Linked DNA regions of Arabidopsis thaliana. The protein of the gene in region 4 purifies or fractionates together with the protein of the main gene of each other region. This does not show direct contact. Each region holds a gene or a part of one and is shown on either strand. Other genes may lie near its edges.

Region 1 (7,142 bases), on a different chromosome or scaffold from region 4:
CGTACTTTCAACAAATTCACCAATCTTACGTGATTGACCACAATGTATCAAATCCAATAAAAAAGAATCGATATAAGATCTACCTTGTTTTGATTTTGAAATAGATTCTCTATTCCTAATTTCTTTCATATGGAAAATGCTGGGAAGAGCAAACAAGGGATCCCAATCTCCCTACCAATCTATGATACATGAATAGGAAAAATATTCTTTGACAAAATCCCTTACCTTGTGCCTTTTTATTTTTAATGGAAAAGGGGAGTTGTCCGAACTCTTGTTTTTAGTAATTTTTTTTTTTACTTAAGTTAGGTTTATTAAGTCTGTCGAGAGTAATATTCTACGACAAGCAATTCATTTATTTTCAAACCGACGCATTTCCTATCTATTATTTGATTGACTAACCCTTCATATTGGAATGTGTGAAGAGTCAGATGGTTTGGCAATTCCTCAGGGGCAGATGAATCAAGAAGATTTTGAACCAAAGTTCTAGAGTTTTGTTCATCCTTCACTGTAATAATATCTCGGGGTTTGCAGCGATAACTTGGTATATCAACTATACGACCATTAACTAAAATATGTCCATGATTAACTAATTGGCGCGCTTGAGGAATAGTCAAAGCCATACCCAATCGAAAAAGGATGTTATCCAAACGCATTTCAAGTAATTGTAGTAAAACTTGACCTGTTGACCCCTTGGCTTTTCCGGCTATACGCACATATTTAAGTAATTGGTGTTCTGTAAGACCATAATGAAAACGCAATTTTTGTTTTTCTTCTAAACGAATACGATATTGAGATTTTTTTACGGAGCGTGATTGGTTTCTAAGATCGCTTCCTGCCTTAGGCCTTTTACTAGTTAGTCCCGGTAAAGCCCCCAGACGGCGTATTTTTTTAAAACGAGGCCCTCGGTAACGTGACATAAAGACTCCTTTTTTGATTGAAATTGTACAAAACTAAATAAAATTAAAACTGAACTAAATGATAATGATAAATGACGTGAAATACACTCCACTATTGGAATACAAAGAGTAAGAAGATATATTCTCTCAATATACAGATTTTTTTTATTGTATATACAATATATATAAATCAACTAAATCACAAAAATTTTCCTTTATTTTCTTGATTAATTTTGCAAAGATCAAACTCTTTTACCCAATATATATTCCTAATATGGAAGTTTATATGACATAATATAAATGGAGTGGTAACTCTTGGAAAAAGGTCAAAGAAGTCTTTTCAATCTTCTTTGATTTTGAAAGTACATTAAAAATCATGTAAAAAAAAACGAAAAAATATGGAAAAGCCGGCTATCGGAATCGAACCGATGACCATCGCATTACAAATGCGATGCTCTAACCTCTGAGCTAAGCGGGCTCAAATAAAATAGCGCATGCATACAAATTCACTAAACTACTAGATCGTATCAATTAACTATTCTATTAATATTTTTCCTTATCTAGTTAGAATTAATGATATTCTATATATTCTAGAACAGAATATAGCTCACATAAATAGTGACTATCATTCATCATTAAATAAATAAAACATAACCTTAATTCTATATATATATCTATATAGTCATAGAATAGTATAGAATTATTAGAATTTCAAATTTACGAAGTAGACTTATAATTTTTTTCCATTGCACATTGTAGAATTCTAAGTTTCAATAATAATAATAATAAATTTCTTTTCATGAAAGTAAAAAAAAAAAAAAGAATCGACCGTTCGACTATTTCTGAAAATTTAAGCCAAAGATGAAAAAAAAAAGAACATATATATGTTATGTAATATATAACCATATTGAATTGCAAATACAAAAATGATAGAATCTTTGTTGATTAGACTAAATCAATATGGATGGAGCTCAAAAAAATAAAAGAAGATAACAAAGACATAAAATAAGTATCTATAATGTAATGAATCCCGAGGTTTCGGCATAAGAAAAAAAAGGAAAGACATCATAATGAGATCCTAAAAAAGGGGATATGGCGGAATTGGTAGACGCTACGGACTTAATTGGATTGAGCCTTGGTATGGAAACCTACTAAGTGATAACTTTCAAATTCAGAGAAACCCTGGAATTAACAATGGGCAATCCTGAGCCAAATCCTGGTTTACGCGAACAAACCGGAGTTTACAAAGCGCGAAAAAAGGGATAGGTGCAGAGACTCAATGGAAGCTGTTCTAACAAATGGAGTTCACTACCTTGTGTTCATAAAGGAATCCTTCGATCGAAACTTCAAATCAAAAAGGATGAAGGATAAAAACCTATATTGTATAAATTTAGGTAACACAAAACGATCTCAAAAATGACGACCTGAATCTCGATTTCTATTTTTTTATAAACAAAATCAAAATGTTGTGAATCAATTCGAAGTTTAAGAAATAATATTTCTTGATTAAAATAAAATTATTCACTTCATAGTCTGATAGATCCTTGATGGAACTTAATTAATCGGACGAGAATAAAGATAGAGTCCCATTTTACATGTCAATACTGACAACAATGAAATTTATAGTAAGATGAAAATCCGTTGACTTTTAAAATCGTGAGGGTTCAAGTCCCTCTATCCCCAGCTCTACTCCCCGAAAAGGTTGACACCTTACCTTTTTTTCGTTATTATTTATTTGAATTATTTATAATCTATATCATTTTTCATTTTCAAACTTAGAAAGTCTTCTTTTATTTATAAAATCCAAGAAATTCCCGGTCCACAACTTTTTGAATTTACTACTTTTGAGTTTCTTTTCATTGACATAGACCTAAGTCATATATTAAAATGATACTGATACTTCAGTAGATTATACTTCGGTAATGGTACACATAGCTTAATTGCGGGGGACTGAAAATCCTTGTGTCACCATTAGTAAAAGCAAGATGATCCTTCGGTAATGGTCGACATAGCTTAGTTGCAGAGGACTGAAAATCCTTATGTCACCATTAGTAGAGGACTGAAAATCCTTATGTCACCATTAGTAAAAGCAAGATGATACTTCAGTAGATGATACCTCAGTAATGGTCGGCATAGCTTAATTGCGGGGGACTTAAAATCCCTGTGTCACATGATAATGATCCTTCAGTAAAGGTAGACATAGCTTTTTTGCAGAGGACTCGAAATCCTCGTGTCACCATTAGGAAAACGAGCATGATACTTCAGTAGATGATACTTGATACTTCAGTAGACTAATGGTGGACATAGCTTTTTTCCGGGGGACTTGAAATCGTTGTGCCACCATTCGTAAAACGAGGATGATCCTTCGCCGGGATAGCTCAGTTGGTAGAGCAGAGGACTGAAAATCCTCGTGTCACCAGTTCAAATCTGGTTCTTGGCAGAGGATTTATTAATTTTGATAAGTTTTTATTCTTCAAATTAAACGTATCTTTAGTAAAAAAAGTGCAATTATGCTTTATCCCCTCTCTTTTTTTTGTTCATGTTGTGAATCCAGCCGTTCAAAAAGAATGTATAATACTTGATACATAATACATATCCGAAAGGAAAGGTTAAATGAGTTCCGTTGAATCAAACAAGTAAAAAAAGGTCTATATGTATAGTATACTATAGTTGAAGGGCAAAAATACCCCAAGGTTCATTAGATACAATAGAAATAGAATTGTATCCCCCCCTTCATTTATTGCTTTCCGATCTTATTTATTCATTCCCAGTTATGTGACTAAAGTTGACTAAGTTATGTGCGCGATACAAAGTTCATAATGCAGAACTCTTTTTTTTTAGTTCATCCTATTGGCTCATTTTTTATCATTCAATAAGCATCTTGTATTTCATAAAAATTGGGGGCAATATAATCCTTACGTAAAGGCCACCCTATCCAACTCTCGGGCATTAGGATCCGTTTCAGTCGTGGATGGCTATCATAAGTGATTCCTAACATATCATAAGATTCCCGTTCTTGAAAATCCGTACTTTTCCAAACCCAGAAAACGGATGGAATTCTAGGATTACTCCTGTGAGTAAATACTTTTATGCAGACTTCTTCCGCTTGATTAACACCATATTCTATTCTCGTAAGATGATACACGCTGGCTAAGAGGCCACCTGGTGCCACATCATAGGCACATTGCGAACGTAAATAATTGTAACCATATACATATAAAATTACAGCAATAGAATGCCAATCTTCGGGCTTTATTTGTAAAGTCTCTATTCCTTGATAATCGAAGCCCAACGATCTATGAACCAGCCCGCGTTTGGCTAGCCAAACGGACAAAGTGCCCTGCATCTTTTTTATTTCCCCCACACCTTTTTTATATAAAATTAAGTATTTCACATTTACCGTTAATTCTAATTTATGAAGATTTTTTTCTGATTCTCTAAAAGCCTCCCTAATTCACTAATTCGTGGGACGATACTGGACTTTTGTATTTAAAAAATGTTTCAGTAGAGATCTCTGAAGTAGATGATGGTGGATAGAGTAGTTCTTGATCATAATTTCCAATATGCGGACTGCGTACAACAAAAAACTTGTGATTGGTAGTAAAACACCGATTACCCTGTTGAGGTCTAATTCGATCCTTATAGATTTCTCTAGCTATTTTCTTACGAAGCTTTGTTATAGCGTCTATAACAGCCTCTGGTTTAGGTGGACAACCCGGCAAATAGACATCTACAGGAATTAGCTTATCAACTCCTCGAACAGTACTATAAGAATCGGTACTGAACATCCCCCCTGTAATTGTACAGGCTCCCATAGCAATAACATACTTCGGTTCAGGCATTTGTTCATATAATCGCACTAAAGAAGGAGCCATTTTCATTGTTACTGTACCTGCTGTTAAAATAAGGTCCGCCTGTCTAGGACTCGATCTTGGTACTAACCCATAACGATCAAAGTCAAATCGGGAGCCTATTAATGAGGCAAATTCAATGAAACAACAACTGGTACCATAAAGAAGCGGCCATAGGCTGGAAAGTCTTGACCAATTTGAAAGATCATTTAACGTAGTTGAAATAACGGAATTTTTTGTTGTTCGATCAAGTATGGGAAACTTAATGGAATTCATAATTGTTTCAATGGTTTTTTTTACTTTTTTTTTTTTTATTATTGTATCAAGTATTCGGTAAACGAACTAAGACCATTCCAATGCTCCTTTTCGCCATGCATAAACTAAACCAAGAATTAGGATAAGCACGAAAATGAAAGCTTCTATAAAAGCAGATACCCCCAGTACATCGAAACTCATTGCCCACGGATACAGAAAAACAGTTTCAACATCAAAAACAACAAAAACTAGAGCAAACATATAATAACGGATTCTAAATTGTAACCAAGCATCCCCGATCGGTTCTATACCTGATTCATAACTAGAAAGTTTCTCCGGCCCCTTCCTAATTGGAGATAAAACTCCGGAAATTAGAAATGCCAAAACAGGAATAGCACTTGATATTAGTAAAAATGCCCAGAAAATATCATATTCGTAAAGCAGAAACATAGACGAACTCCTATGAATGTGGAAAAAATACCCGCTTAGTCAATTCCAATCGGAGTGGATTGGGCAAGGGATATAGAACTCTTGAGTCAAAACAAAAATTCAGGTTAATCGAATCATTTTTTTTCGTTTGGTTGTTGTGGTAGACGTCTCGTTTTAAGATTTATTGATTTCTTATTTTCAGTACACTTATTACTTAATAGTTCCATGTTTCTATTACTAATAGTTTCTAATATAATAATATAATATTAATCTGATTAATAACTAGTAATTTTTTTTATTTCTGTTTATGTTTAAAAAAATTTTTCGAAAAATCTCTTCGTTTTTTAAATGATGACGTATCAAAAAATCCAGTAAGACTTTACCATACTCATCTTACTTAGTATTAGATAGATTGAATTTTGGTTGAATTTAATTAGATTTCTTTTTTTATTTTTAAACAAGGCCGTGTGATAAAAAAAGTAACCAAGATTGAGTGGGGATACAAAAAAAAAAAGAAAGTATTATGAACTTTTTGATTGTAGCTAGTGAACGAGGAAAATTCATATAAAAAAATTACAACTATGAAAATTAATGAAGAAAAAGGTTTATTCTAAATTATAAATTAAGTATCTATCTCGATATATCGATAGATAGTGATTGGCTCCATTGAAATAAAATGAAATTTTCCGTTTTATTCTGAACGATCCCCAGGACTTATGGTTTATGATATGGAAATTTTTTTTATGAACCGAGCAATTAAAAGTAACCTGTTAGAAATAAAGAATACAAAAAAAAGTAAAAAAATTTATCCAATTATTTTGATTTTAATGTGATTTTTTAGAATAAATTTCTTAGTTAGGGCTATACGGACTCGAACCGTAGACCTGCTCGGTAAAAGAGTTCGAACTTATTATTATCAAAATGATTCGAACTCTTTCAAAGACCCAACATGCATTTTTTTTTGCATTGGGCTCTTTCATTAACTGATCGAAAGATCAGTTAGTCTACCATATTTTTTCTTAAAAAAAAGATAAGAAATGGTTCCAAGTACTCTGATTGATTATTTTTGAATTCTAATACAATACAGAAGAACTACCAAAGTGTTTCAAAGAAGGGTTCTCTTGACGTAGGTTTGCTTTTGGTCTAGATCAACTTAAGTTAAATATAGTCTCTAACATCCTGATTAAAAAATCAAACATGAAACTTGATACACCTTAAGGTTCATAGGACGAAAAGATCATTTTTGAGTTCCTTATACTCATTCTACCTAGCATTGAGTAGACTGGGTATTCACCCTATCAATATCTCAAATCAATGATGGGTTCTATTCATTCCCTACCTAACGGGGTACTTTAATAGGACCTAATGTCAGGCTGTTGTTCTCCTCTTTTTTCCTAAAAAAAAGTCATGGAGTAAGACATCGATTTCTTAATAAGATCAATCAATTAGTTTGATTGCGTGATGGACTCCTCTGAAAAACTTTGGCGCACGTGTAAACGAGGTGCTCTACCTAACTGAGCTATAGCCCTTGTGTTTGTGATACACATTTTATCTTATCATGTAGATAATTTCTTGTCAAGATTAATATTACATGATCGAACATTATATCTCTTTGATCTCATTGTTTATTGGTATTGCTTAGAAATAATATTGGATTTATAATCCTATCGATGTGATAGGTATCCCCTTTCCTTCTCTTTACAATGATAAA
Region 2 (5,579 bases), on a different chromosome or scaffold from region 4:
AGATATTGATAAAACACATAGAGTTAATGGTATTTCATAACTAATCGATTGGGCAGCAGCTCGCAGACCACCTAAAAAAGAATATTTATTATTTGATCCATATCCTGACATAAGAAGTCCAATAGGAGCAATACTTGAGATGGCAATCCATAAAAAAATACCGATATTGAGATCCGCTAAAACAAGGTGATTGCTAAAGGGAATTACTGAATAACTTAGTAAAATAGAGATAACTGCTATAGATGGTCCAATACTAAATAAAGGAGTATTTCCTCTAGATGGACGAAGATTTTCTTTGAAAAGTAGTTTTGTCCCATCGGCTAGAGCTTGAAGAATTCCCAACGGGCCGGCGTATTCAGGTCCAATACGTTGTTGTATCCCTGCAGATATTTCTCTTTCTAACCACACAATTACTAGTACACCTGTTATGATTCCCAATACAAGAGAAAATATAGGGACAAATATCCATATGAGTCCATAGACCTCTTTTAAAGATTCCAATTTAACAAAAGAATTTATAGTTTGGACTGCTGTTGCATAAATTATCATTTTAACGATCAACTTCTCCCATAATTATATCTATGCTACCGAGTATCGTCATAATATCAGCCAATTTCATTCTTTTAACTAGTTCAGGAAGAATTTGCAAATTAATAAAACCCGGTGGTCGTATTTTCCATCTCCAAGGAAAACCGCTTTGATCTCCTATGAGAAAAATTCCCAACTCCCCTTTTGGAGCTTCAACTCTTACATAAAGTTCTTGTTTTGATAATTCAAAAGTAGGAGAAGGTTTTTTACTAATGAATCGATATTCAAAATCATTCCATTCTGGATTCCTTTTTCTATCAAAGCCCCTGCTTTCTAAATTCTCATAGGGACCCCCTGGAAGTCCTTCCAGAGCCTGTTGAATAATTTTTATGGATTCTGTCATTTCGCTAAGTCGTACTAAATAACGAGCTAATGAATCTCCTTGTTTTTGCCATTGAATTTCCCATTCAAATTCATCGTAAGACTCATAACGATCAATTTTACGAAGATCCCATGGTATTCCGGATGCGCGTAGCATTGGTCCGGATAAACCCCAATTTATTGCTTCTTCCCCACCAATAATCCCAACTCCTTCAACCCGTTCTAAAAAAATAGGATTTCGTGTAATGAGTTTTTGATATTCAACAACCTCTGTTAAAAAATAATCACAAAAATCCAAGCATTTATCTATCCAACCATAAGGTAAATCAGCCGCTATTCCTCCAATACGAAAAAAATTATGCATCATTCTCATACCGGTGGCAGCTTCGAATAGATCATATACAAATTCTCGTTCTCTGAAAATATAGAAAAAGGGAGTCTGTGCACCAATATCTGCCATAAAAGGGCCGAGCCATAACAGATGAGAAGCTATACGACTCAATTCCAGCATAATTACTCTGATATAGCTGGCCCTTTTAGGAACTTGAATATTTCCCAATTGTTCTGGTCCATTTACTGTTATTGCTTCTGTAAACATAGTAGCTAAATAATCCCATCGCGTTACATACGGTAAATATTGTATAATTGCTCGGTTTTCTGCAATTTTTTCCATTCCTCTGTGTAAATAACCTAATATGGGTTCACAGTCAACAACATCCTCACCATCTAGAGTAACAATTAAGCGAAGAACACCATGCATGGATGGGTGGTGAGGTCCCATATTGACTATCATAAGATCTTTTCCTGTAACTGGTCTCTTCATAAGTTTTTCCTTGATTCGTTCTGGCATGAATTAGATTTCTGAATAAAGAAGTTTATCAAAAAATTCAAGATCTAAAAAATTCACTAATTCACAATTTTTGAATTTAACGAGTTTTTAATTCCCGAATATTCAACTGATTAATTAATTCTTTATAACGTACTCTATTTTTTTTTGACAAATAAGCCAGCAGTCGTTGACGTTTTCCCAGAATTTTTCGTAGACCCCGCTGAGATAAATAATCTTTTCTGTGCAATTCCAAATGTGAAGTAAGTCTTCGTATCTTATTAGTGAAACTAAATACTTGAAATTCAACGGATCCCCTGCTTTCTTCTTTTTGTTCTTCAAATGAAATGACTATATTTTTTATCATAAAAAGAAATCCTTCCCCTTTTAATATGAATTGAAAGATATTAATTTTACTGATCAGTAATAATAATGGTAGTTTTTTTGTACAAGGATCTTAATTTAATTATCAACCTCTTAATTCTTCATTTTAGAAAAAAATCTAAATTTAGATCTCAAAAAGAAGGATTCTGTTAATTTATTTATGAATCCGCTATAATTGGTATCTATGTGATTGATTAAATTAATCTCATGTATAAAGATTTAATTTAAAACAATCCCTCATATTTGTGCATATAGTTGTTTTCATATACCGTAACTTATTATATATAGTAAAAAGTATTTATGATTAAGGAATTGGAAATCGCGTATACATGCGTATTCTTATCATACTGAAATGATTTCCGTTAGTAGTATTAAACCAATAGCGATTCATACAAGCTAAATCTTCTAATTTAAAATTGGGCCAAAGAAAGGATTTTAAATTAATTAAGTTATTTTTATCCTTATCAAGATCAAGATCTTTCTTTTTATGCAAAACGGTGGTCAAGTTTTGAATATTCTTATCAAATCTTGAATTTGTATCCCTAGCATTTTTTTTTTTTAAGTTGAAACAAATTAGAATTCGAAATTCTCTACGTCGTTTAGGGGATAGAATTTTTTCAGGGACAAAGAAATCATAATTATTTTTTTTTTTATTTACAGTTTTGTTTTGATATTTTGTAATGGATTTTTCAAAAAATTTTTTATTAATATAGCTTTTTTTTTTGTATCTTTTACTTATTTTGTGTTTATTTTTATGAACCAATGAAATACCTATGGTTCTATATATAATAAGTTGTCCATCGTTTTGTACAGACAAACGCACAGGTTCAATAATCAATATTCCTTTTTTCATTAATTTTGCAAAAGTGAAATTTTTCTCAATCATTAGAATGTCTAGGCTCATCTCTCCTCTTTCAATAGAAGATACCGCTATTTCGTTTGGATTGTTTAGTCTAACCAAGAGACAGTATACTTTTACATTATTGAGAATTTTTTGATTAAAAAAACAATTCCATCGCAATTGAAAACGCGAATATCTTGTCAGAAATAAATCAAGTTCCGCTTCTGTATTACTTTTGTATTGTTTTTTATTTTTACGTTTTTTTATTGTTGATTCTGCAAAATTTTCTTCAATATTTTTTTCTTGGTTTAATCGAGCTGCTTCGGGATTTCTTTTTGTTTCTTTATCTGATTCAAGTTCTACTTGACCGGCCGATTCTTTTTCTTCTTTATTCAGATTATAAAATCGAAGGGATTCTTTTTCATTTGATGGTATAAAACCTTTTTTCTTTCGAATGATCTTTTTATTAACATTTATGTTTTCATTAAAATTTAAAAGAAGTAATTTGATTGGTATGACCCATGGTTTCATTTTATATGTACTAGAAAATAAGAAAAATTCCGGAAAGAAAAAAAATTCAAAATTTGTTATACGCTGATTTAGTATTTCTTCATTCATTCCCATCCAATCAAAAAAGTTTCTTTTTTTATTAGCAAGATCCGTCTGCGTTATTTTATCAATTTTTTGATAATTCTGAACTTTAGTATTAATATATTTTTTTTTACTCTTAGTATCAACCCAAGGCTCAATAGTTACTTTTTTTGTAAACCAAAAGTTAAGAATTCTCCAATCCAAATATTTTCTATGCCGAATTTCCCCCATACCCCGAATATTATATTTTTCTAGAAAAGAAGAGACTAAACAATTATCTAGGGCAATGCCTATAGACATGTCAAAATTTTTTTCTGTAGAATGAATAGATTTATAGCAAAAAAGATTATATATAGAATCTTTTTTTACATTATGTTTTGGATTTAATAATGAGTCGGCCTCAAAAAATTTTTGTTTTTTATAATTATCAAATTTCTTTTTTTCATATGAATCCTCTTTGGTTAAACTTGGGTTTAGAACTAGAGAATCTTTATTTATTTTATTTTTCCAATTTTGGGTTACTAATCTAGCCCATGAAATCTGGGGTAAATTGTATTGATACTGACTTCGTAACCAGTTTTTCCATTGATTTACTTCGGAATTCAAAAAGGTTTTATTTTTCAATTCATAATGAAAGATTCCGTGTTCTTGAAAAAAAACCTTTATTTTATTCTTAACAAAAAAGGATGTTATGCATATGTTATATTCAAGAACAGCCTTTAATTTACAAAAGTTACTAACTTTAATTTGTGATAATTTGTAAAATACATATGCTTGTGATAAAGAGCATAGGTCATAACTCATTTTTTTTTTATTGGATATTAAATTTTTTATAGTCGAAATAAAATAAAGAGTATTTTTTTTTTTTTCTCCATTTTCTTCATTCTTGTAAATATATTTATCAAGAATTTTTTTTGTTGATTCAAAAAAAAGTTGTGTAGTAATTCTTGGAATATTAATGATACCTAGAAAAATAGCTATAGACATTTGTTCGATGCAAAATTTAAAAAAAAAAATGGATTTACGAATTAATCGGGTATTTTTTCTTTTGAATGTCTGCCAAATTTTTTTTGATGACTCAATTATTTTAGAATCATAACGCAGTTTGGTACAACTATTAGTTAAGTTTTGTTTTTCTTTTGAAATTTCTTCTATTTGATTTCTGATTGTCTTTTTTCTATCAATCAAATTTTTGATTTTTTTTTCGCTAAGTGAAGAATTTGTCCACTCCAAGGATTTATTTTGAACAGATAGTTCATGAATCATCTGATTACTTATTATTGAATCTTTTTTAGGTTCATTTAATTCATATATTTCTCTCGGGCCAAATAATGGAATTAGATTTCGTTTTGAAATTCCTTTTATAAAAATAAAGTTTTTGAGAATCCAGTTTTTAGTTTCTTTTGCGACTTTTAGGAAAATGGGTGCTCTTTCTTTGAAAATCTTTAAAACCACAAAAGACTTTTTTTTTAATTTTTTGATTCTTTTTTTTAATTCTTTAGAAATAGGTTCAAAAAAAGAAGGCTTTCTTTGGGCAGAACCAAACGGTAGTTCGGTTTCCATTCCCCAAACTGTTAAGAAACAAAAATCATTTTTTTCTCCTTTGTCTTTTGTTTTTTTTAGTCGAGCCTTCTGAGATGCTTGAAATTTAGATTTATGCCAAGGTTTAAGATAAAAAGGAAATAGGATTTTTATCTGAATACCATCCGTTAACCAGTTTCTTGGAAATTCTGTTTCGGATAGTTGAACCCCATTATAAGTACATTTAACATGCATTTCACGTTTCCAATCCTTTAAATCCTGGGACCACTCGGGAAATTGAAATAATAACATACGGACACTGTTTTTAATTATTATCAATAAAGGTAATATAATATATTTTCTAAGAATTGATTGAGTTACTAAGAGAGAACCTCTTATTATTTGAGCAAATAGGAAGCTATCCCAAGTTTCTGCAATTTCTATCCGTCTTGTTTCTTCTCTTTTTGATTGTTCTTCTTCTTTTTTATCAATTTTTTTTTTCCAAAT
Region 3 (9,290 bases), on a different chromosome or scaffold from region 4:
ACGATTTTACAACGGACAATTCCTTCCAACCCTTATTAGATCCACGACAGCGACAACTCCTCTTCTTCTTCTCTATGCCTTTGATGGACACCTTCAATGATCTTCTCTGCTTAGAATCCTGACGAACGGCTATAATTGTGCATCGTTTGAGATCTCCTGCACACTTACCTCTATTAATCTGCAAATTTGCTAATAAATTGTATTATTTGGGATTCGAACCCCAGACCGTCATCTAGGCACATATCGCATATGTCCCCGGTGTCGGATGAAAGAGAGGCCATTAATCATGTCCTATTTGAGTTAGGCCTTCTCTGTTTGTGAACTTAGATTACCTTTTTGGAAAGCGAAGGAATTAAGAGGCCGCAAAGAGGTCATCCGGATCTTCTGTTGAATTATGTGGTTTATCAGAATGGCCCGTAACTCAAAGGTATTTGAGAACAAGGATACCCATCCTGCTAACACGTTTCAACATGCTTTGAAGGAAGCAGAATCTTTCCAAGTGGCATGAGCCCGCAAGAGGATCCTTTCTCCACATGCATGTATCCCATCATTCCATAGAGACACTCCCATTTGACACTCTAGTTTGCTAGGTACATGGATCTTGGGAGGATACTTGCACCTTAACAATATTGGTTGGATTGTCCATATTGGTTTAAAGAGCTTTCGCAGTTGACAAATATATCCAAAGACCTAATCATCAACAACATACCGAAACTCCAAACACCGATTTAAAATGTAAGAGCATATCAATACTGAAGAATGAGAAATTGTAAGATAAAATAGAAAAAGAAAATCATCTCATACCTCGTAGTAGTGGAATGATCAGCCAAAAGATGCAACTTGATGGTTGAGCAGAGAAAGAAAGGTAACCGATTGTGCGGTGAGGTCATAGACTCCAACTAGACAGAATTGGGATTCCAAAAGGACCCAGTGTGGCCGAGGAAAGCTCAGTAATCGCCAATGCATGTATTCAGTTACATCATTATATTGGTCTTTTCCAACTTGTTTGGTGTTTTAAACTTTTGTGTAATAAGACATCAAATATGTAAGGTAGAGAGACTAGAGAGAGTTGATCATGTAATTACCATAAACCCATGGAGGACTAACCGGAACGTACGTGAGAGAAACTTGTATATCTTCATATCTCTGGTAGGTACTACCGAACTGGTTAGGATTTTCACCCAATGTTGCTTCCTCTGATCGTTAGAGATCGAGTATTAGACTGTGGGCTTCCAACCTAAAACCAATTGGCAATAGGTGGAGAGGCTCATATCTTATATATACCACTTAAGATCCTACTCAACTTCCGATGTGGGACATTGTCCCTAATACGCCCCCTCGAGATGATGGCTCTTCTAGCCATTGATCTCGATATGTTTGGGCATGGATCGGCGGGCCAAGTATTGGGCCGAACCGATGTGGATCGGGTTGAGTATGTGCGGATCGGGCTCTGATACCATAAAACATCATAAAAATCCAATACAGAGTTTTGATAGGAAACACACAAAAACATAAGACAAGCTCACATAAAAAATCTACCAAACATTTCTTCTTCCATGGCCATTCCTAAGCGAAAGAGATCCAAGACTCGAAGACACATCCTCAAGCAAAGCTTCATTCATGGCATCTCTTAGATTCATCTCATCAGTAGCATCATGGAAACATCCACGTGTCCTAGACTCACTTATCAGTGTTGCCCAAATCGAACCACTTAGAGCCAAAGTTGTCTCGTTCCCAATCACCCATAAACAGTGTCTTGCTCGAGTCAGTGCCACGTTAGCTCTTTGACGGTTGTTAAGAAATCCGACTTTTCCATTACCGTTACTTCTAACGGTGGAGATGATGATAATGTCTTCTTCTCCTCCTTGAAAACCATCTACGGACCGAACATTCAAAGTGAATTGCTGACCTGATAAGGAACTGTACTTATCTCCGATTTTCTCTTGGATTGCTCTCATCTGTCCTTTGTAAGGTGAGACCACTCCGACACTCACCTTCATCCTCCTTTCACATGAAACTTTGTAAAGATTTGATATAATTTCAGAAATGACAGCAACTTCAACCATGTTTTTGGGACTATGTCCATCACCAAACTCTTCTTTTCCACGTCCAACATTGATAAAAGAAAATGAGTCAAACATGTTTCCTTTAAGAAACCTCTTTTGATAAATACTTTCTTTAACATTTTCAGCATCTTTGATTCTCCCACCATAAAACTCCTTGTTGGGGAAACGACTAATAGAAGGATGCATTCGATATTGAACATCAAGCAAGTGTTTGTTGTGACCAAGCAAAACCAATCTCTCAAACAAGCTTCTTCCGAATTTCGCCTTTTCACACATCTCATTATGAACCATTGCAGGCAATTGAAACTCATCTCCTATTAAAATGGCGTGACGCAGTCCCGGAAGTTGCAATGCAGCAACTGATTCACATTCCTTAAGCTGAGCCGCCTCATCAACCACAAGCAGTTCTACATTTCCTGTCCTTTCCACGTTCATTTCCGCAGCACCCGAGGCTGTGCAGAGGATAATATCCGCGTTTTGAAGACAAAATTTCCTAATATCTTCGTTTTCTAACATGTCTGGAATCTCAAAACGTTTTGGAAGTAAGCGTAGAGCCTTGAGGCAATCATCACTGAGTCTTTTGAAGCAATCAAATCTGAAATTTCCTTCCTCGAAATCAACCCTAGAAGAATTCTCCCTCAAGAAATATCTGATACGCTGAAGAGTTTGACGAGAAGCAATCATTTTCTTCACATCTTCATATGGAAGGTAAACCTTGGGAAGATGTGTATACAAATCAACGATGCATGTCTTCACTTCTTCACTTAAGCTATTAAAATTCTTCTGAACGAATTCTCCAAAAGTAGGAATGTTAACAACAACTTCTTCCCTTTCATCTTCTTCATTCATTCTTTCAACTTCTTCTAACTCGTAGACATGTCTCTCATACTTTCCCTCGGGGTTTTCAAGAAACTGTATCAGTGACTCTAATCTCTGCATCCATCCAGAAAATGGTGAAAACAGTTTACCAAGCTTACCAATACGCTCATCAAGAAACACATCGAGAAGAACATGATCGTTCTTGTTAATCCCCATTCTGTCCCGGTTTCCGGATAAAATGATATTCCCTAGCCTGTAAGTAGCATTTTCCGCTGTCGAGTTTTCCTTAAATAAGGATAAGAGCCTTGATGTAACTTGTACAATAGCTGTGTTTGTAGGAGCACACACAACTGTCTTGCACCTTAGTTTGAGAAGGGCAAAGAGAAGAGTCGCGACCGTCTTTGTTTTGCCTGTTCTAGGAGGTCCCCATATCAGTTTCACACTGTTCTTATGGGTACAGTTTCTTGTCTCAAGGCAGCCCAAGATTGCATCCTCTTGGGAAGAGTTCAATTTCGTTGAACGGATTATATCCAAAACAAGGTCAGATCTCCCATCATTTTCAGAACAAAAACATTGTTCTGTACCCTCAGTATTAGCCTGAAGCACACTCTTGGTTAGAGTCGATATGTCAGCTTCGTTGTGCAAAGCATTCCAAATTCGAGTGTTTGTTGTTAAAGTCATTAGAAAAACACCGAAGCTATAGTTCTCAAGAGGTGATATCGATCTAGACAAATGAACAGAGATTTTAAGATTTTAAGATCACCTCTATAGTTCTCAAGAGGTGATATCGATATTAGACTGTGGGCTTCCAACCTAAAACCAATTGGCAATAGGTGGAGAGGCGCATATCTTATATATACCACTTAAGATCCTACTCAACTTCCGATGTGGGACATTGTCCCTAATATCGAGAACTCTGATCGCCTGAAACCGAGAATCTGATTCTGGACTATGGAAAGTTTTGAAATTTGGCCGGAAAATTGAAACCCTAAATTTTTTTTGTTTTGAGAGAGAAAACCCCTAAAAACCCAAGCTCTGTTTGGTGTATCTCTTTCTTGGGAAACAAGTTCTTTTATTGCATTTTTTTTCCCTATCCTCGTATTTTCCATACAAAATCAATGTTAAATTTTAAGTTTCAATTTTGTCCGCAAATTAGAAAACTTGGCAAAGTAACCTTCTTAGTGTAAAATTTTTAGAATGCCCTCAACCAAATTTTAAAGTGTTTAAAAAAAAAAAATTAAAGTGTTTAAAAAAAAAAAAAAAACACGAAGAGCCAAGTAACCTTATCCATTCATACGCCTCAAACAGAGACGACAGCGTTTGAAGTAGAAGACAAAGGACAGTGCAAGAATCTCTTATCAACATGAGAAAACCATCAAGCAAAAAAAAGAAACACAAAAGCTATCTCCGAGGTTAGAGCAATGGCAGCTGTGAACTGCCATTTCTTCCAGCTATCACGACATCTCAAACCTTCTAGGCCTTCTTTTTCCTGCTCTGCTTCTCAACCTTCACAAAACAACATTAAGGTAATCACATCACCATCAACATCATCAGAATCAGGAGTTTCCAGACAATGCAGCTTTGATATGATAATGCTTCTAATTTCCCTATTAGGTAATCATAAATGGAGCTGCTAAGGAAATAGGTAGAGCGGCTGTGGTGGCTGTGACTAAGGCTAGGGGAATGGAGTTAGCTGGTGCTGTCGATAATCATTTTGTTGGCGAAGATATTGGCTTGGTGACTTAGCTTAAAACCCATCTGTATACTATTCCAACTGGTTGGTTTATCTATTGATTGACTCCCTAACTCTAATGTTCTTGCATAGCTGTGTGACATGGAGGAGCCTTTAGAGATACCTGTAGTGAGTGATCTAACAATGGTGTTAGGCTCAATATCTCAGGTGCCATTATTTTCTTAACCCTCCCTGTCTCTCTGTTCTCACCAGATTTAAATTCTACGGAACAACCTAAACGAATGTCTTTAGTAGGGAAAAGAAGTCGGAGTTGTGATCGACTTTACAGACCCATCAACAGTGTATGAGAATGTAAAACAGGTAACCAATTAACTTCTCTTTTTGTCAAGCTCATATCCAGTAATATGGAAACTATCACTGTGTTAATGATTTCTGAATCTATCAAGGCAACGGCATTTGGGATGAAGAGTGTGGTGTATGTACCTCGGATTAAGCCAGAGACAGTATCTGCGTTGTCTGCACTATGTGACAAGGCCACCATGGTGAGCACAGGGTGAGATGAGATACTCGCAGATTATTCATTACGTTCCCTTTCTTTGTGAGGTCGAGTCTGTCCTGAAGCAACAATTGTTAGACGAGAGATGGTTCACTAAAATCTAATTTCGTCTCTGCTTGCGTTATAGGGATGTCTTGTAGCACCAACTCTATCCATAGGATCTATACTTCTCCAACAGGCTGTGATCATGGCCTCCTTCCACTACAACAATGTAGAGCTAGTGGAGTCAAGGCCTAATGCAGCGGTATGCCATAAACAAAAAAAAAACAATTTTAATTTCCTAGAATTCTGGGTTTTAACTTTGACACTTGTGGAATGTTGATCAAGACTAATTAAGGCATATAATACTTCAAAGAGGCTAGTTAAGAAAGAACAATATAGAGCTTTTTCATATAGAGCGCATATGCAGCTTTTGACATTGAATCACAAGAAGTGACTTAAACGATACCTATGAAATGCAGGATCTTCCTTCTCCTGAAGCTATCCAAATTGCAAACAACATATCAAATCTTGGTCAGATCTACAACAGAGAGGATAGTTCAACTGATGTTCAGGTAAAGCATGAATAAGCTTGCAGATATGGACCAGTTAGGGATCCTGTACATATTATACATAAACAAAGCTGAGTTTTCCACATATTTCCAGGCAAGAGGTCAAGTAATCGGAGAAGACGGGGTTCGTGTTCACAGTATGGTTCTACCAGGACTACCATCTAGTACACAAGTCTACTTCTCAAGTCCAGGAGACGTAATTAATAATACTTGACCTCTTGTTAGATCACTCAAAATCAAACTGAAAATTGGATACTCTATTTTAAAATTTAGGCTACATAGCTCATTAAAATTCTTCTGATACAAAATGCTGTCCACAGGTTTACACTGTTAAACATGACATAATTGACGTAAGGTCCCTAATGCCCGGCCTACTCCTAGCAATCAGAAAGGTGGTACGCCTCAAGGTAACATGGAAACAAGCAAGAATTCTCCATCCATTAATCTCTTACTGTTATCTAATCACTTGCCATTATTCTCTTTGGTTTTCCAGAATCTGGTTTATGGCCTCGAGAAATTTCTGTAGGAACTGAAGTGTTTCACCAGTCAAAGATAACATCATCATGAACAGCTCATGTCATCCTGCAAGACATATGAAGTTAGGAAATAGGTTGATATTTTCTTTCATCATGATACGAGTGTTCAATATTTAAGGTGAGAACACTAACAACGTCGAACAGTATCCCAAGGATTTCATATTAAACAACTACTACATTACTAATAGATTTACGGCCTGGAAAATAAGATGTTCAATGCTTTTGGTTACTGATATTTTGAAGTTTAGGTTCACAAGTAAGCTTGTATATTACCAGTGCTACGTAGTCATCCACAAGTAACATGACATTCAGAAGTCTTATTACTAAATCAGCAAAGAAAGTAAACAGTTGGCTTTGGTCCAATTAACGTTCTATGAAATGTACAAATTCCTCCCATATTCAGATGGAACAGCGACGAAGCATAATTACCAAGATGAAAAGTCTGTCAAAGTTGAGACTGCACAATTTTAACTTCAACGAAGCCCACCAAAACAGAACAAAATAAGCAACAAATCCTTTAATCCATGGGAACAATCTAACCTCTGAATTTCTCAGCCATAGCTCCAATCCAGGCTCTATCTTTATCGCTATATGCATATCCAGCAGTAGAGGCCACCAGCAAAAACCCATTCACTTTCTGCGGTTCATTTGTATTTTGTACGAGAGGTTGCACAAAAAGAGAACGCGTCCCATCAGGAAGTATATCCAAAGATAGTGCAGAACCTAAAATAAAACTGAAAGTTAACATATATTTCAACACCATAGAAACAAAAGAGTAATATTCCATGCATTCAGGTATACAATAGATCGACAATGCTGAACAAATTCAAGACCGTGCGATTGAAGAAAACACAATACCTGCATACTGAGGGAAATAAAGGGTCTCCTTCACATCAGCCAAGCCAATCTCATCCACTTTTTTCTTAAACCAATCATGAAGTTGAGCCTTTGACATTTGATCTGGACAATTCCAGTACCCGCGAACACAAAGCTCGCCTTGAACCGATATCAACTGAACAAAATACAATCTTTCTCAACTAAGGAACATATCAAAGATCAAACAAACCCTTATCCAAGAGAGTACACCATACCACAGCTATAGTACTTGTATTCCTCAACAAAACATACGTTGCCCATGCTAAATCCTCTTTCAAAGAATCTCCAATATTTGATGATATCACAAAAACCTGCTCTCCTTCTTCAGGGAGACTTCTCTGCTCCACTACAGAACCCTAAACACACAACCAAACAACACCAAATAAGTGAACAACAACAACAAAAGTTTTTCTTCACAGAATCTAAAAGTTATGAATTTACCTTAAGGAATTTTCCAATGTAAGGTAAAGCTATTGAAAATGCAGCTAGTGATAAACCCAAAGCCTCTGATCTCTATCACCAAAAAATTCACAAAAAATGCTAAAGTTCATAGCTTTAAATAGCAAAAACACTGTGAAGCGAAATTGTTACTAATTACCATTTGAGATTCACTGATTGGAGCAGAAGCTGAGAAGTGGTTAAGAAGAAGAAGTGATCCAAAGCCGTACCCGATCCATCTCGGTAGATAAGATTCGTCAAACCCAGGAATTCCTACAGACGCAGACACAAATCAATTTCAAATCTTTCTCGAAAATAGTTGGGAAAAATCTGAGCTTTGAAGTGGGGAAGGAAGAAAATACCAAAAGTGAAGCGAAGAACAGAGAGATTGAGTTGTTGATCAGATGTCTTTGATTGTGGAGAATCGTTCTCTGTACGAGCGAAGATTCGTGTTGACCTTTGGGCGCGAGGTTGTAGCGCGAATTTAGGATGGAACGGGAAATTACAAATTTGAATACTCATCTCTCTCTCTTTCAGATGTCTTCGAGTCGAATAGTTTCTGTATCCGCCATTGATGATTTCTCGAAGAACCTCTCTGCTCAGTAAGATAGAGGCCCATTAAGAGCAGGCCCAGTTGTTAACGTCTCCAATTATTAAGTTAATTTTCAAACCAAAATTGTTACTTTTGTAACTGATTTTGAAAATTTCACAAACATTTTATGTAATTTATTTACAAAACGGGATTGCTAAATTTTCCCGCCATCTCTAATGTTTTGTGTTTAAGAAATCAAAGTTCAATAGTTCCACAAAATGCAATGTTTTAAGAAATTATGGAATCATGTAAATATTTCGAGAATCTAGAACTATTATTATTGTTTTTACACTAATTATGTATATAAAAAGGTTAGAACATATGATGAGAAAAAATGTTTCTTAGGATAGGATATATGATCAACACATGAATCTGTAGGTTGTAAGACTTTTTTTTTATAAATCATATATATGAAAGGAGGTTAACTCTCTCCCACAACTTGACACATCAGCACATAAGAGCTTGCCACCTAGACTTCATAAAATAAGTAATACAGAATTAGTAATTAATTCAACATAACAACTAAAATAGGAGGATATAATTAATCAGAACTTGAACCATCACTCTTTCTACATTTTTTTAATTCAATATATCCTCTTTAATTTTAAGATCCACTTAAGTGGCTAAAGTGATCATAAAATCCAAACATGCTATACATATTCTTTGCCTAAAAATTAGACGATTATTATGTAAGAAACTAAATAAATATGCAGATTAAATATATCTAAGCTTTTCGAGATTTATACTAAGAAAACAAGTAATTTGAAAGATGTTTGAGGAGTTATCCTTATAACTAATACGTAAGATATAAGATTATGACAAGAACTTACTAAACTTTCCAAGAACATCAAATTGAATATGATTAGATTGAATATGCATATACATGGTTAATAAAGACATGTTATATATTTAGTGTAAGAAATAAATTGTATAAAATTTCACCGTCTCACAATCTAAACATATAACCAAAAAAACAAGAATATATAAATTAAATGAAAATCTAGAACAACAATAAAAAACAACTCAAGCACATTCGTTTTTCAGATGAACTAATATAGTTTCAAAAACAATTACAAATCATATTTATGTTTCAAAATCGATGCATTCAACTCTACTTTATATGAACATACATTATATAAAATAATTTGTAAATAGTAATACAT
Region 4 (7,934 bases):
GTTCGCCTTCCTTAACCTAGGAATCCGACCACCTTTGCTTGTCCCTAAAAGCTCAAAATTGATTTTGCTCCAACCAATCTTATCTTCATTATCCCAACCAAATCTCTCACTAATCTCCAACAACATCGAAACAGAGTTTACCTCTTCTCTACTCTTCCTTACAGAAGTTAAAGCTCTCATGCTCTCATCACTTCCATGGAGGATTTTCTCTGCAAATTCCCACTCAGTTCTATCTTTATAAACATCGTCTTCGAGCACTTCATCAGCAAGCTTTGCCCAATACTCAAAAACTCCTGCACGAAGATTCTTTGAGACCCATTTAAGATAAGAAGAAGGCAAAGTACCAAGCATTTTGCCCTTGTGTTTGCCGAAGTCTATGATTGTGTCTCTGGCGGCTAGGGTTTCGATGATTTGAAGTTTTTTGATTAAGGGTTTAGACTGATTGGTGGAGAAGATACCATTAGATGAAGAAAGATTTCTTCTTGGTCTGAAAGATGATGATGATGAGATTCTGAAGATGGTTTTTGTTGTTACTGCAGCAGAGTGAGGACTGTGGAACAAGACCACCGAGAAACTCATTGTTGTGTCCCCAAAATATTGTCTATTTTTTCTTGAATCCTATAAAATACATTTAGGGGGTGTTATTCGTTAATGGATTTTAATAGAATTGAAATTCAACACTAATTTACTGTTATTCAACTAATGATTCTAAATCTAGCTTTAAAATCTAGTATTATTGGAACTCATATTTGTAAATCATGTTTAATAGATTTTAAAGTTTGGTGTTATTCAATTAAGATTTTAAATATTTCATTAAAATCCAATGTTATTCAAAACTAAAAGACTTGTAAAATCTTTGTATATTAATTGATTTGAAATGAAATCTCTTTGGAGTTTCATGAGTAAATCATTAGAATCAAAATTCAAGACATATTGCAGAGATTTTGAAATTCATACAAACATATTCTTAAAAGCAATATCAGAAAACAAATCTAAAGCTTAAAAAATTGACTTTAACTCCATAATATATTATGTTAGTCTATTTTGGTATCCAAAAAATCTTATTTGTTGTAGGCAACGGGAAGTTGATTAAACTGGAAAGGAGAATAAGTTTCTTTTGCTTCTCTATGGACATACATAGAAATTTTTCTTACATAAAATGGTAATATCTCTTTAGAAGAGAATGTTAAATTGTATTCAAAAGAAAAATATTCGTTTGAACATTAAATACAAAGGTTTGTAGAGAATATATGAATATTTAAAACAGTTCAAGTAATTAGAAAGTGGAAGAGCCGAGAGCTTTAAAGTCTTAACCCGAATAACAGTTGGTGTCATTCGTCGTACCGTTTGTCTACTTGAACTGGTTTCAAATCTACTTGTCAGTCCATCTGATTAGAGTAATGACTGAGTTTTTCTTGCCTTCATGTCTTCTCCCATCTATTTCTTTTCAGATACTATATATTGCTGCCTGTAACACATATCTTGAAAGAAACCTTTCGACGCGGTTTTGTTGTAGTTGTGATACTGATGCTACATAAAATGGTAATATCATCAAATGGTTGGTGTCTCTATGAAATATGATTAAGATCTTAGAAATGCATAAGATCAAACAACGAGTTAGAGCCACCACAATATGTAACCATGCTAAGATATATATATATACCATATCGTCTCTAAACATATAAATTTAGAATCAAACATTTTCAATGAAATCGCAGTTGATTTTTCAAGCCACACAACAACATAAAAACAAAGAAAATATTTAGGATTTGAGATATGGTAGAAAAATATGAGAGAGAATGATTATTTACATAATGAAAAGTGATTGAAGTTACCTTTTAAATGTAACTAAATTACATGAGTTACAATTCTAATTTGTTTGAATGACAATGAGTGAAGAAGAATATAATTAATACACAATTAGTATGATAGTTACAATTTAGTATTCAATGGTTGATTAATAAATGTGAATAAATTTATTGTTTTTGTGGGTTAATTGGAGATAAATATTATTCTATTTTTATTTTTGAAAAATTGGTTGTTAAAAATGAGACCTTATTTTTATATATACATGATTAAACTATTTTGAACTTGAATCCATTTGTTTTGGATTTACTCACTTTTCCAATGTTACTTATAGTTTCGCCAGTGGAATATAAGGTTAGAAAATATGAGAGTAAAAATCAGGAATTAGGACATGTAAAATCCAGAAATATCTGAGGACGGATCTCACGATTGATTATAAGATTCGCATTACATTTTCTCTTCATTTTTTTCAGATAAGAAAATTGGATTCTATCAATTTGTCGTCCTATTGTTCTTTTCTTGTTTGATATACAAATACGAGTCACTGATTTTTTTTAGTTGATTGGTAGAGTCTTAAAGGAAACATCAAATTCAGACAGTCCTTTTACAACCATTTCATCCATGTCGGCTCATTATTTCGCACCACAGAAGAATAACCCAAAATTATTAGAAAACTTGGACCACTATAAGCACTTGAACTGTGGTCGTGCACTGACTAATGTGAGCCCGTTTTGGTAATTCTCAGCTGTGTGCGTAATTGATGTCGGCGTCACCTTCAGAAACTTCGAAATTATGTGTGATACACCGTGTTTCATAAATTCATACACGTCATTTTAGATACAAAATTAGATATTTTCATTTGATAAAACCGAAAGAAATAATAAACTTTTTCTTTCTTGTTCTCATTTTAAGTCTCTCTTTATATCACTTTCTATATATATTGAATCATGCAAGGAATACACATAAAATACTTGTGTTCTTGTACTTGTTTGGTGACTCAAGCAAGACTCCCAAGCTATGGCGGAGAAGGTACTTTACCAAGATCTGAATTTTCATATTACTTCTCTTTTATTGATCATATCCATAATTACCCTCTAATAGAGTTACTAATTAAGGTAATAATGATCATGAAATTATATGATATGCACAAACAGGTAGTGATGATGAAATTGAAAGTGGATCTAAACTGTTCCAAATGCTACAAAAAGGTCAAGAAAGCTATCCGCAAATTCCCTCGTGAGTTTCTTTCTTTAATTTGAGTTTCTTTGTTCATTTGAATTATTGCGGGTTGAGAAGATTCTGAATCTTGATAAATGGATACGATTTTGTGGTATGTGTTGTTTTGCAAAAAAAAATAGAAATAACAGACGAATTGTTTGATGAGAAGTCCAACACGATCATCATCAAAGTAGTTTGTTACGATCCTGAGAGGCTAATGAACAAACTTTGCTACAAAGGAGACGGTTCTATCAAGTCCATCGTGATCCTTGAGCCACCCAAACCGCCTCAACCCCAGCCTCAACCACCTCAGAAGCCTACTGCCCCAGCCCCAGCCCCAGCCCAAGCCCAAGCCCCAGCTCTTGTTCGGCCGGCTCCGGTTCCTGTTCTTGTTTCGTCTTCCGCTCCTCAACCGATGCCGATGTGGCAGCCGTATCATTGTGGGCCGTATTACGAGGCCCAACAGTACCAATGTTATGGAAGGCCCGTTTACGAGAGCTGGGGAGGTGGACGACAATGTTGCCACGAAGATATGAACTCTCAAGGATGCTCCATCATGTGAAACACTGAACCAAGTCTCCTCCTACTCATATATAGACTATAGTATATACCAGCAAATAAATAACTACACGAAGTTATTTTTAATTGTCTTCGTCTTACCAGTATTTCTATTTCGAGTCCTCGTTTATGTATGTAAACACTACAGGGTTTTGTTTCTTGTGTATATCACGTTTTGGTTCTAATACAACTTTTATTTGCTCTTCTTTTCTTGGTAGTAAAATACAAATAGTAAGATTTTTCGCATAAAAATATAGTTTCTGTTAGAAAATAAAAGTATATTAGCACGAAAGAATGGAAACTAAAAACTCTGAGACCGGCCTCTCCAATGAGTGACATGAGTCGATGAATACTCAACTATTATGTTTTTACAGTTTACTTATCCACAGATGACACTGTTTCTTTCTACTGTGAAAAGAGCAGCCGTGGTGCTTACACCTCCACACGACACCGTTTAAACGGAAACTAAAAACGACGTGACGTTCTTGTCTGAAACACTTAAACGACGCTATAGTGTACTGTAACTCCAGAGAAGGCCTTATCTTTCTCCAATTCTCAAAACCCTCTTTAACACTCTTCCTCTAAGCTTTTTAAATCAATGGCTTCCACTTCCACACTTCTTCTTCCATCTCTCTCCTCTAAGAATCTTCACATCGCAGTCCCAATAAGAACCAATAGCTTCGTTCGTCGAACAACAAAGTTCTCAACAAAATGTTCGTCGAATCCAGAGTCAAAGGATCAATTCATCAATCTCACACCAGCACCTGAATCAATCAACACAACAAGCGCAGAGAAATTCCCAATAGAGAAACGAAGAAGATCAGAGATCATACGAGACAGAACACAAAGAGGAATCGAGAAACCAGAGCCACCAAACTTCGAAATCGGTTGGAAAAGAACAAAAGAGATAAACTTGGAGAAACCTAAAGGTTATGTAATAATGGATTTCTTAGAAAAGTTCGAAGCTTTAATGGCGAGAGAGTTTGGATCAAAGGAGCTTTTAGCTAAAGCTGGTGAGATTGTTGCAGAGAGAGCTAGAGAAGAAGCTGAGGTTTTGAGAGATGAAGGTAAAGTTGAAGAGAGAATGGTTACAGAGCTTTTTAGGGTTTTGAAATTGATGGAGATGGATTTAGCTATGGTTAAAGCTTCTGTTAAAGATGAAACTTTGAGTCAGAGGATTGAACAAGCTAGAGCTCGGTGTCGACAAGCTATTCTTGTTGCTAATTCTTTCTAATTCCTTCTTCTTCTACTTGCAAATTGAGTCAAAAGTCTATGAATTTTGTTTATAGTTTTACACAAAACAGAGCTTCTTCATCTGTAAAAGATCTTATTTTTTTGGTTCTGTAATCATCTCTGGATCATTCATCTGTTACTTTAATGGTAGAAGAAGGATTGAAGATGAGAGTCTCATGTGAAGAATCAAAACAAAGATTCATGCTTTTGGTTTTGCAATTTGTGAGGAAGCTTAAGGGTTTTTGGGAGGAAAAAACTTAATTAGTTGAGAAAATTTTACTTCCACTAGTTTCATATTTCAAGATATTTCACCAAGACTCAAGCTTTATTGTACACCACACATTAAAAATGCAAAGTTTAATCATTTTAACAAAAGCTTCACAAGCAGCAGTAGACAGCAACAATGGTGGCAGTCAGATTCTACGCTGTAGAGATGTCGCTACCATGTTTATGTCCATGCCCATCATCGCCGATTTCTCTTTCATTGTGTTCTCCGAGATTCAATCTTCTTAACACAACAAGCAGGAGACTAGGTTTGTCTAGAAACTGTAGAACTCTGCGAATCAGTTGTTCATCTTCATCTACTGTCACTGACCAAACTCAACAATCGTCTTTTAATGATGCTGAGTTGAAACTCATTGACGCTTTGATCGGAATTCAAGGCCGTGGCAAATCTGCTTCTCCTAAACAGCTCAATGTGTGTAAAAACTTTAAACTTTCTTTAATTTTCCGTCGTGTTTATGATTTGAGAGATTCTCTGTTGTAGGATGTTGAATCTGCTGTGAAAGTTCTTGAAGGTTTAGAAGGCATTCAAAATCCTGTATGAAATGTTTTCTTGTGAATCCTTTTATCTTCAAATTACCAAATTCTGTTATGTTTTGTTCTTTGACTCATTTGGTTGTCTTTTGGGGAATGTTGTTTAAATGTTTAGACAGATTCTGACCTAATCGAAGGTCGTTGGCGATTGATGTTCACCACAAGACCTGGAACTGCATCTCCAATCCAAGTCAGTTCTTCTCACACATTCATCATCATATCTCCATTTTTTCTAGATGATTGTAATTTGTGTGTAAGAAGAAGAGCAATGGAAGGATTTGTCTCTGCAGAGAACATTTACAGGAGTTGATGTGTTCACTGTGTTTCAAGATGTATACTTGAAGGCAACAAACGATCCTCGTGTTTCAAACATTGTTAAATTCTCTGATTTCATTGGAGAGCTGAAAGTTGAGGTGAGTTTCTTCACTAAAGTCTTTGCATCAAAAGACTGAGATGTTTATACTTTGAATTGTTTCATTTTACAGGCAGTTGCGTCGATCAAAGATGGGAAACGAGTTTTATTCCGTTTTGATAGAGCCGCTTTTGATTTGAAGTTCCTTCCTTTCAAAGTTCCATATCCAGTTCCTTTTAGACTTCTTGGTGATGAAGCAAAAGGTTGGCTAGATACTACTTATTTGTCGCCTTCAGGTAACCTTAGGATTTCTAGGGGAAACAAGGTAAATGAGTTTCTTGATTCTCAAAAAGAAAATTAAAGCTTTATAGCATTTTTATCCATGAGGCTGTATATTTGTAGCGCAGGGAACAACGTTTGTTCTTCAGAAAGAAACCGTGCCTAGGCAGAAATTGTTAGCCACCATATCTCAAGACAAAGGAGTAGCTGAGGTAATGTGTCATGCCTTCAAGAAATCTGAAAACAATCGATAGTTTCGGTTTGAAATGGAACCAATGGATCGTTTAGTATAAACACAGGCTATCGATGAGTTTCTTGCGTCTAATTCTAATTCCGCGGAAGATAATTATGAGCTTTTAGAAGGAAGTTGGCAAATGATTTGGAGTTCACAGGTCACTTCTCTGATAACTTTAGCTTTTGTCTTGAACAAGCACTTATATTCGTTTGGATAAGCGATTTTTCGGGTTTTGTGTTTGCAGATGTATACAGATAGTTGGATTGAAAATGCAGCAAATGGTCTTATGGGAAGACAGGTAAACATTTTATTAGAATGTCTTAGGTAGTCTATTGTTGCTTCAGCTGGCTTCGTTTAGCGAAATCGAGTATCTTATTCAGATCATTGAGAAGGATGGGAGGATAAAGTTTGAAGTTAACATCATTCCGGCATTTAGATTCTCCATGAAAGGCAAATTCATGTAAGTCTCTGTCTTTTAGATTAGTCATTTTGCTAACTTTTTTGTGATCTTGTTTCTTGACTGGTCTCATGAATGATTTGCAGAAAATCAGAAAGCAGTACATATGACTTGAAGATGGACGACGCAGCAATTATAGGCGGTGCATTTGGATATCCGGTCGATATAACAAACAATATCGAGCTAAAAATTCTGTAAGATCTCTCTATCTTCTTCTTCTACTACTTTCACAAATCACAACATATAATAATGCATTTGAATTGCTAATACAGAGATGCTTACTTTAATGTTTGTAGGTACACAGATGAGAAGATGAGGATAAGCCGAGGATTCGATAACATTATCTTTGTGCACATCCGAGAAATTTAGCTGCATTGTTCTATCAGAACCTCTTATTTGAACATATGAAAAAAAATAGTATGTAAGAAACTGTCAAATGTTTTACAACAATGGAAGGTGATAGTTTAAATTTTCTCTGTTCATTAGTTTTTTTGGATGTAACAGGAACCAGAAAAAACAAGAAACCACATGATATAATTTTCGCTACTAATGTCTAAATTAAGACAAAATTAACATTAAGAAAACTTTACTTTTTGTCTTAATCTTAAACAAATTCACTGAATATTTCTTTCTACAAAGAAAATACGAATATCTCACTAACAAAGGAAACTTACCACTAACAGCTTCTGGTGGCATTAATTACTCTGTAAATTGCCATTTTTTCACCGAGAGAAAACTAGAAAAACAAAACAAAACATGGAAACTGTAACATTCTAAAAGATTCATTGTTAACAAAACCAACAGAGAAACATAATACTGATTTTCCAGGATTTACTCCCTCAAATCTCTCCTTCAAATACTCTTCCTAATCTCTTCTGTTTTCATTTTGCTTGTTCCCTGCGAACATCTCTCTCTCTTCCTCTGTTTCTTGTTTTTTTGTCCTTTTCTTGATTTTTGTATTTTTTTGTTATGGATATGGA

The links.
Region 1: the proteins of CRR41 (region 4) and ndhJ purify together in Arabidopsis thaliana (affinity purification with mass spectrometry, with the first as the bait; one study listed by BioGRID). This does not show direct contact.
Region 2: the proteins of CRR41 (region 4) and ndhH purify together in Arabidopsis thaliana (affinity purification with mass spectrometry, with the first as the bait; one study listed by BioGRID). This does not show direct contact.
Region 3: the proteins of CRR41 (region 4) and CRR1 purify together in Arabidopsis thaliana (affinity purification with mass spectrometry, with the first as the bait; one study listed by BioGRID). This does not show direct contact.

The regions. Positions count from the first base shown.
Region 1 is NC_000932.1:44,912-52,053, forward strand, and holds ndhJ (NADH dehydrogenase subunit J), read right to left. Parts: upstream 4,243-7,142; coding exon 3,766-4,242; downstream 1-3,765. Other genes in the region: rps4 (ribosomal protein S4), read right to left, coding at 312-917; ndhK (NADH dehydrogenase subunit K), read right to left, coding at 4,346-5,023; ndhC (NADH dehydrogenase subunit 3), read right to left, coding at 5,090-5,452. UniProt on the Arabidopsis thaliana protein: NDH shuttles electrons from NAD(P)H:plastoquinone, via FMN and iron-sulfur (Fe-S) centers, to quinones in the photosynthetic chain and possibly in a chloroplast respiratory chain.
Region 2 is NC_000932.1:121,461-127,039, forward strand, and holds ndhH (NADH dehydrogenase subunit 7), read right to left. Parts: upstream 1,733-5,579; coding exon 551-1,732; downstream 1-550. Other genes in the region: ndhA (NADH dehydrogenase subunit 1), read right to left, coding at 1-549; rps15 (ribosomal protein S15), read right to left, coding at 1,836-2,102. UniProt on the Arabidopsis thaliana protein: NDH shuttles electrons from NAD(P)H:plastoquinone, via FMN and iron-sulfur (Fe-S) centers, to quinones in the photosynthetic chain and possibly in a chloroplast respiratory chain.
Region 3 is NC_003076.8:21,165,897-21,175,186, forward strand, and holds CRR1 (Dihydrodipicolinate reductase, bacterial/plant), read left to right. Parts: upstream 1-4,151; 5' UTR 4,152-4,306; coding exon 4,307-4,411; intron 4,412-4,499; coding exon 4,500-4,622; intron 4,623-4,710; coding exon 4,711-4,785; intron 4,786-4,872; coding exon 4,873-4,938; intron 4,939-5,024; coding exon 5,025-5,120; exon of another isoform or gene 5,121-5,261; coding exon 5,262-5,378; intron 5,379-5,582; exon of another isoform or gene 5,583-5,595; coding exon 5,596-5,688; exon of another isoform or gene 5,689-5,731; intron 5,732-5,737; exon of another isoform or gene 5,738-5,779; coding exon 5,780-5,881; exon of another isoform or gene 5,882-6,005; coding exon 6,006-6,092; exon of another isoform or gene 6,093-6,178; coding exon 6,179-6,211; 3' UTR 6,212-6,262; coding exon of another isoform or gene 6,263-6,267; 3' UTR 6,268-6,450; downstream 6,451-9,290. Other genes in the region: AT5G52080 (F-box associated ubiquitination effector family protein), read left to right, coding at 1,347-1,454; AT5G52090 (P-loop containing nucleoside triphosphate hydrolases superfamily protein), read right to left, coding at 1,536-3,566; HCF208 (chaperone (DUF2930)), read right to left, coding at 6,263-6,267, 6,762-6,944, 7,080-7,233, 7,313-7,453, 7,539-7,610, 7,696-7,808, 7,898-8,057; AT5G52115 (ribonuclease H superfamily polynucleotidyl transferase), read left to right, coding at 8,425-8,438. UniProt on the Arabidopsis thaliana protein: Dihydrodipicolinate reductase (DHPR)-like protein that may not function as DHPR in lysine biosynthesis. Required for both formation and activity of the chloroplast NAD(P)H dehydrogenase (NDH) complex of the photosynthetic electron transport chain.
Region 4 is NC_003070.9:18,930,162-18,938,095, forward strand, and holds CRR41 (potassium/sodium hyperpolarization-activated cyclic nucleotide-gated channel protein), read left to right. Parts: upstream 1-4,137; 5' UTR 4,138-4,180; coding exon 4,181-4,816; 3' UTR 4,817-5,138; downstream 5,139-7,934. Other genes in the region: AT1G51080 (golgin family A protein), read right to left, coding at 1-579; AT1G51090 (Heavy metal transport/detoxification superfamily protein), read left to right, coding at 2,824-2,835, 2,961-3,042, 3,165-3,586; AT1G51110 (Plastid-lipid associated protein PAP / fibrillin family protein), read left to right, coding at 5,219-5,512, 5,582-5,635, 5,747-5,821, 5,922-6,044, 6,117-6,308, 6,391-6,474, 6,562-6,654, 6,742-6,795 and 3 more; AT1G51120 (AP2/B3 transcription factor family protein), read left to right, coding at 7,930-7,934. UniProt on the Arabidopsis thaliana protein: Required for both formation and activity of the chloroplast NAD(P)H dehydrogenase (NDH) complex of the photosynthetic electron transport chain.